2 linked regions of the Lepisosteus oculatus genome follow. The protein of the gene in region 1 binds, or shares a complex with, the protein of each later gene. Links are inferred from orthologs where the notes say so. Each region holds a gene or a part of one and is shown in the gene's direction. Other genes may lie near its edges.

Region 1 (3,924 bases):
TCACTGGCCCATTAATCTTCCATTGCAGCCATTTTCGCTACACCCATGAACAATTTGATACCTATGAATGCTTTGATTTCACTGATGTTGGTGTTTATGCTTCCACCAATCAGTTGGCATGAGTACAGATTGGTCTGATCAGCAATTAGCTCAAAAATCGCATTATTAAAGAATTTGGAAAAATAGGTTGGTGGAGAAAAGATTCCATCTTGTGCCATGAAATATGTTGGTGTTGCAGCTGACTGGTGTTCAAAATCGTTTTTTTTTTCCACCTAGAAAGGAATGAAATATATAATGGTTTATTGGAAACCACTCACACTCCCCTTTTTTGCTCACTATACATTCTATAAATAACATGTATTACTTCCATGTACACATTCTCATGGTCAGTTAGCAGTCTTGGACATAATATTTTTGTCTGGGTTCTAGTCCACATGCATACATTCATGTACAGTAAGTGCACACACCCACATGAACACACAGTATATAGTGTTACTTTATCAACAATATCCTATTTAATGGTTTACATCACCTACATTTCTTAATTTGTATGGACAGGTGTCCTTCTGCTGCCTCAACATTACAGCTACAGTCACTACTGCTATCCTCACTGCTAATGCTGCTATCTTCTCTTCGGCCTTCTGCATCTACATAGGCTTCATCATCTTCCTCACTTGTCCCTTGCTCTGAATCTGAAGAGCCAACAGGTGGCTGAATCCCTCTCCTAGGCCTACTATAAAATATCTTTGTGGAAATTCCCTGAAATAGTTAGTAAATAGTAATAGTTAGCACCTTTATGTGATGAAAGCATTTCAGTTGTTGTTATTTAATATCTAATACTTATGGCCTTTAAAAGAACAGGCACACATAGTGCTATTAATGACTGTTTTACACCCCCATTTAGGCAACGTATCCCAGGGGATACAGATATTTAATGTCAGATTTGGAGAACAGTACAAATATAATTCACATTTTTTTTTCATATTAACATGTCATATCATGCTTAAAAATGAATAGCTTATAAAAATGTCCCCCCAAAATTTGTGTTATGTATAAAATAAATACAGGTACTCACCATATGGTCAGTGAAGCCTTCTCCATCTTCCATCACAACAGATTCAGAAAGGAGTGACAAGTCTATCCCAGAATGCTCAGATGAAATCACATGACCTAAGTCCTTAACACATGACTCCCTCGTATGTTTTAATTGGATAAAAAAACACATGTTCCTAGCCCCTCCCACAGCTGGTCAAAATGTCTGTATCCAGCAGGATACAATATCCATTAAAGGGTATTGTAACTTTTAATGACGTTACATTTAAAGTTTAAATCTTTTGAACGCAGGGAGCAGGGAATCCAGCTGCAGGTTGTTGAAATGTTATGCAAACGGGAAGAAACTGCTCCAATTACGAAGTTCTCCAAGATAGGTAGCTGTTGTAACGTAAGGAGACTTAGAAACACTGATAGTAAGAACCAGCGATGCGAATCATGGCAGTGCAATGAGGTGTATTTTGAAAGATGCTCGGTGTAGGAGATAGTAGTGTGCACGGCCATGATCGTCTTCAACTACAACGCCCAGCATGCATTGCGGTGGAACTTTTTCCTGGCAACGTGATTTGTTTATCTCCCACTGTGGCCATGGAGATGGATGGCTGTTGCTGGGCACCCAGACAAGCTCCTAGTGTTTCACAGCTCCAGCCTAGGTAGCTGTGTGAAGAAGGCCCGAGTCCTTACAAGAGGAAAAATTCATTTTACCGAAACTCGGCGCCAGCGCAGCACACTGAAATAACGGTGGCACCCGAAAGCTCTGGGTGCTAGGTCGACGTTATCGGCGTCAGGCATAGGGTTATTCACATTATCTTTTTCACATTCAAGGCGCACCTGGTAAACATGCCTCTCTCGTTTAATACTGACGCAATTAAGCCTCCTCTACACGAGCAGATATCGGAGCTCCAAAGGAAAATTCAGCTTCTTGGTAGGTATTTCTTTTCATTAACGTTGGACTGATATTAGCCTGTCATCTGAGTGAAGCAGTTAAACGCGTCCCTTAAAGTCCCTTAGCTAGAAACTTGAGTTCGTCTGGTTTAAATTAATTGTACGCACCACGGTGCATAAAATACAATTTTAAAGAAACGTGTTAACTTAAAATCGGCAACTTTCGCGTAATTTAACAAAGGTGTGAGTTAAAGTTGATTTTGTAGGCGCTTTATCTCGACTTTTACTGTACAGTCGTACTGTACAGTAAGTAGTACATAAATAGTAGATTATGTAAGGATAGTGTTAGAGTTGGCAAGAACTTGTCATGATAAAACGTGGACCATATCAGTCGCTTGGAAGGACGAGCCTTCAAAGTTTATAGGGCATGACTAAACTAAAACATTGCAGCTAACGCTGGGTGGGGGCCGCGCAGAAAGTGGGAGATTTGCGCACCAGACTCAATTCAATTCAACTTTATTGTCATTATACTTACACAGGTGCATAGTATAATGAAAAGTGTTTCTCATTAGTCGGTCAGGTGCAGTATATAAACAGGACAAAAGATAAGACAATAGACTAACACAATAACAATAACAGTAACGTGTACTACCATAACGTAATCAAAACTGTGCAAAATCCGCAAACAGAGAAAATATAACAGGACAAAAACAGTGCAAGGTAATTCGGGGAACAGTGCAAAAATACTTTTGATTAATAAATATTACAACTATAGTTGTGTAGTGGTGTTGGAGTACAGTCCTTGTGGGTACAGGAAGAAGTTAGGAGAGATCATAGTATGATGGGAGGGAGTGGGGGCATCACCAACTTGACAGCTCTGGGGAAGGACGCCTTGCACATCTTATTATGAATCAACCACCTGTGCGTTCGAGATGCCGGCGGGTTATTGTAATATCTGCGCTCTCCTGACAATATCAGCGTTCCGCGATTTCTCTGTACCCCAGAAGAGTCATTATTTCTCAGCATCTTATCGGTGCTGACTGTTTTCTGTTCTCCAGCATTGCCTGTACAATGCGTGTTCATCCGTGGGGGTGGGGATGGTGGAAACATCCAAAACCACACAGGTGGTTTCTGTTCTCATACCAGCTACTTCGGTGTCTAAGCTGCCACACGTCTGCTAGCTACACTGCATTTTTAAAGCACGTTGTGCGGGGAAAACCATTCTGCATAGCTCTAATAAAAGCACAAAAGAGCCTGGTGGTGATTTACTGCAACAGTATGTGTTACAGTAGATTTTTTTATGGTTTTGATATTGAGGAAGAGTGGAGAGTCTAACGTATGACATTTCTGACTCGCAGAGGGGGACAGAAGCGCTTACTATGAGAGCTCCCAGTGGACCATCAAGAAGAACAAGGAAGCCATCCTGCAGCTCCGTCAGGAGAACAAGAGGCTACATAAGAAGTTGGCTGAAGCCTTAGCAGTAAGATGGTTTAGGATAAGAAGCCATTGGCCTCTTGCCTCGCAGCACAAACAGACATCATGTGTCTGTGCTACAATGGTCCTGCCGACTAGTTCATGTGAGGCAGGAATAGAGATTGGATCATTTTACATCCGCATTCTGGTTCTGTGCTTCACAAATCTAGACTTGGGGCTAATAAACTTTGCACACTGGGGCCTTGGAAGACCAGGGACAGTCGGAGTCTAGGCTGGGATCTCTTTGGAAGACCAAGTTTATACTTCCAAAACATCTACTTCTCAAGTTCCAGCTTGGGGTTCATCAACCCCCCTTTAATTAATTGTTTTAAAGGAAGTTTTATTTTGTGAACTTGGTTTAAGTCAGGTTCAAATGACAGCGATGCATAGGGTGGTTTCCTAGCTCATGGTCCATTTTTTGAAGGGCAGTTAAAAAGATAATTTTTCAGTGAATTTGGCAGAGAGCTGCATTTCTGAACAAGGCCCATGTGAAGCTGAGAACCCGGTGAAACAGTA
Region 2 (3,924 bases), on another chromosome or scaffold:
CCATGGGCTCACCTTGGGCTCCTTAGTGAATTCCCAGAGGTTCCCTAGAAACAGATAAAGTGCTCAAACTCAACACTTCTATGCAATGGTTTTCATCTTGGAAAGGCTCATGATTAGGATTTATTTTTAAGTGATTTTTTTTTTGCAATAGTGTAGTATTGTGTGGTCATCAGGAGTAAAGGGAAGTTTTAATCGGAATAAGCAGTAAATGATTATGCCCACAAGGGGGAGTAATACTCTGTTTGCTGTAGACTACAGTACAAGAATGCAAGAAACAGCGCTCCTTCCTCTCTCCAAGCCACTGTATCATATCATTCGCTGTTACTTGCAAATCAGAGTGATTGGTTGAAAAGTGGGTCCATCAGGATTTTTTTCTCCAGCTAATTCTTATTTACCGAAGTGATTAGCAGCACTTGTGTTAATTAAGCCATCTATCCTCGCGATGCAGTACCTAGAGCAGTGAGCCTCCGTCTTGGTCCTGGGCTATTAATGTACCTGCTGTTTCTCGTTCAAACTGGGCTCTTCATTTCGGGTCCTAATTTATTTGAACTTTTCTGCACTTATAGGTTTCAAACTACCCTTGAGTATTTTGCTAATAACTTCAACACAAAAAAACTTTAGACAGTTCCTCCTCAGCTTTCTACTAACGAATGTGTCTCTTATTTCTGTCTAAAAAGCTCTCAACGGGTGATCCATTAATAACGAGCGGAGACTGATAGGACTGATAATGCACCTGAATGAGGGAGGTTCTGAAATTAAGAACTGGAAACAGGTTGATACCAATTGCAAAGTCCGTACGACGTTTTAAAAGAAAATTGAAATAACTGACCTAGAGTCGAGAAGGATGTTTCTCTCCTTTGAAATGCCATTGAAAAGTGCTTTTTTCAGTCTTGCAATCCCTGTATGAAGTGACGTCACAGGCAGGAGCTCCGCTGCGCACCGACGGCTCGTTCTCAAAGCGGATTGGCGTTTCCATAGCAACAGCCGTCCCAACAGGACTAGGGTTGACGCCAGGTCTGTGTTTTCTACCGTCCTACTTTTCTTGTTAAAGACGTCGAAATCGGGGGAAAAAAATCGCGAAAATGTCGGAAATGTCGGCGATGAACAGAAAAAATATACAAAAACTTGCAGAATCCCTGTCTAGACAAGTGAAACACTGTAAGTACAGTACACGCAGTACCTTGTTCGTGTGCCATTGAACTCAGCTCTAAGGAAGTGCTGTGTATCTCTTTGATATTGAAAGAAATAGATACTATTTCGTGAATTGCACCTTGTTTCCGTGAGTAACGTGCTCTTTGATTATGACAAGAAGAGCGACTTTCATAAATATGCCTTAGATTTTCTGTTGAATAGCCAGTTTGCAGTATCCATTTTAAACGTGAACGGCGATGGAGAAAGTTAATTAACCTCAGAGTTAGTCTAGATAAACTTTCCCAGAAGCTCAACCAGCGGAGCTTGTATGTTTTTATATGTAAGAGGAGAACACGAATGATTCATAACGTCTTATTCGACTCAAACTTCATGTGTACTTTACATCATGGGACCAGAAGTCAGGCGTTTGAACTTGTAATTAACAAGATCGATCGTGGGTTCCAGTGCCAGACGAGACACGGCTGTTGATCCTCACTTCAAATTGAAGTTCAATTTCCCCACTAAAAATACCGAACTGTTAAAACTGATACAAATACAGATTAAAAGGTTAAAAGCGTCGGCCGTATAACAACTGTAATTATTCCCTGATGAGGGTGGCACAGTGGTTAGTGTTATGTCGCAGGTTCAATGCCGGAGCTGGGGTGCTATTTTCGAGGAGTTAGTGTGTTTTTGTGGGTTTCCTTCCACAGTCCAAAGACATACTGGTAAGTGAATTGGCTTCTGGGAAAACTTACCCTAGTGTGTGTGTGTGTGCATGCCTTGCGATGGACTGGCGTCCTGACCAGGGCGTCGCCTGCCTTGTGCCCGTTGCTTGCAACAATAGGCTCCGGCTCTCCCGTGACCCTGAATTGGAAATAAGATAAGATCACTTTATTACCAATATACAATTTCTTGTATTTGGAATTTGTCTTTTCATATACCCCAACTTGCTCTCCATGAGACACACAGGCGGGGAGAGAGAAGCTTGGGGTCAGAGCGCAGGGTCAGCCATTTATAAAGCAACCCTGGAGCAGTTGGGGTTAAGGGCCTTTCCCCCTGAGCAACAGAGTAGGATTCCTCTGCCAGCCACAGGATTTGAACTGGCAACCTTCCAGCCACAGGCACAGATCCTTAGCCACAGAGCCACTGCCCTCAAATAGTGGTTAGAAAAGGATGGATGGATTATTTCCTGCTTATAATAATGCCTTCAGTGGAACTTTACAAATTAATTAGTGATTGATTGAAAAGTGGGTCCATCAGAATTTTTTTCTTCAGCTAATTCTTATTTACCAAAGTGATAAATTCCATTGGGAATTACCAATGTGAAGTCTTCAAATAACTCATACATAGAAGTAGGAGTTCAAATCATCATCCCTTCTCAATTTTCCTTTTTCTTTCAAGCTTCTGCAATGTTTTGTAATATATCACTGTCTAAACAGCACAATAACTCGCATTGAATTTTGTCTGATATGGGGATGCTTCTATTTTCATCATGTACAATAAGCTGTATTACTATACAAATCCATCATCATGGGCTAGAGCCGATCTGTCTTGTCTTCCAACATGCTGCGCCCAGTCGACAGGAACGAGACAGAAAGTTTGATCACGCTGTTCAACGCGCTGCTGGGGGAGCAGAGCGACAGGCGGGCAGGAAGTGGCCTGGACCGGGGACGCTTCAGGAACGTGCTGCACAACACATTTGGAATGACGGACGACATGATTATGGACAGAGGTGAGCTTCCAGCTGCTGGTCGCACACATGAAAGAGGTTTACCGTAAGAATATTTTTTAAAACCATCCTTTTTTTCCCCCCTCCAATAGTTATTAGCAAAAGAGGATGCTCTTGTGGTTTGTTTTTTTTTTTTTATTGTAAAAATAAATTCGTAGATGACATACATGTACTAAGGAAGAAAATCTCTGTTGAGAGCCCATTTCTCAGGCAACAGTACAAAATGATCTTTAAGGTTTTCAATATCTGCATCGTCTGTAGATGGGTGTATGAGAGTCTGTTTTTTTTTTTTCCAAAAATGGCTTAACATTCTGTATTAACATTTTAACAGATGGGTTACTTTTAGAAAGAATTAGATAGGTCAAAGTCAACATTTTCTATGGTGTTCAGCATGTTTCGCTTACAATGTGAAAATTGTTTTTAATTTTGAATTTAGTCTTTCGTGCCTTTGACAAGGACAACGACAGTTACATCAGCATAAAAGAATGGGTGGAGGGACTGTCTGTGTTTCTGCGTGGGACCTTGGATGAAAAGATAAAATGTATGCGAGTATGTTGTCTGTTCACCTATACTTTTAAGATAGCCTCCATGTTGATTCTGAATAGAATATATTTCAAGATTCAAGAATCTTGAATCAAGTATTGGAATGCTTACTTGTTCAGATGTACCCAGTAACAGTAGAGAAATAAAAAAAAAATAGGCACAAATGACAAACAGACATGGACAATCAACTAGACAATAGACGTTATAATACAGCCAAGACAGAACATAGTGCAAAAACAGTGCAGTAGCTTGAAATGCAGGTGCTAATTTGAGCTGTTTATGATGCGGACAGCTTGGGGGAAGAAACCGTTTTTGAATCTATTGGTCAGTGTTCTGATACTGCGACACCTCCTACCAGAACCCAGGGGTGAAAGTATGGTAGGGAAAATAAGAGTATGTTCATTCGCCCCAAATGTTTTTTTTTTATAAATGATAACATTGCTTATCGTGACAGCCAGATTAACATGATGCTGTAGTCTCAGTGCTTTCCAAGTTACAATCAAGAGATCATTCAGTCATCC

Evidence for each region.
Region 2: odad3 (region 1) and clxn share a complex: the UniProt entries of both Homo sapiens proteins name them as parts of the outer dynein arm-docking complex. The link is inferred for Lepisosteus oculatus from reciprocal best matches to the Homo sapiens genes ODAD3 and CLXN.

Annotation. Positions count from the first base shown.
Region 1 is NC_090706.1:17,752,694-17,756,617, reverse strand, and holds the start of odad3 (coiled-coil domain-containing protein 151), read left to right. Parts: upstream 1-1,350; 5' UTR 1,351-1,890; coding exon 1,891-1,975; intron 1,976-3,293; coding exon 3,294-3,415; intron 3,416-3,924. UniProt on the Homo sapiens protein: Component of the outer dynein arm-docking complex (ODA-DC) that mediates outer dynein arms (ODA) binding onto the doublet microtubule. Involved in mediating assembly of both ODAs and their axonemal docking complex onto ciliary microtubules.
Region 2 is NC_090705.1:5,005,648-5,009,571, forward strand, and holds the start of clxn (calaxin), read left to right. Parts: upstream 1-1,020; 5' UTR 1,021-1,082; coding exon 1,083-1,158; intron 1,159-2,707; coding exon 2,708-2,863; intron 2,864-3,296; coding exon 3,297-3,401; intron 3,402-3,924. UniProt on the Homo sapiens protein: Component of the outer dynein arm-docking complex (ODA-DC) that mediates outer dynein arms (ODA) binding onto the doublet microtubule. Seems to regulate the assembly of both ODAs and their axonemal docking complex onto ciliary microtubules.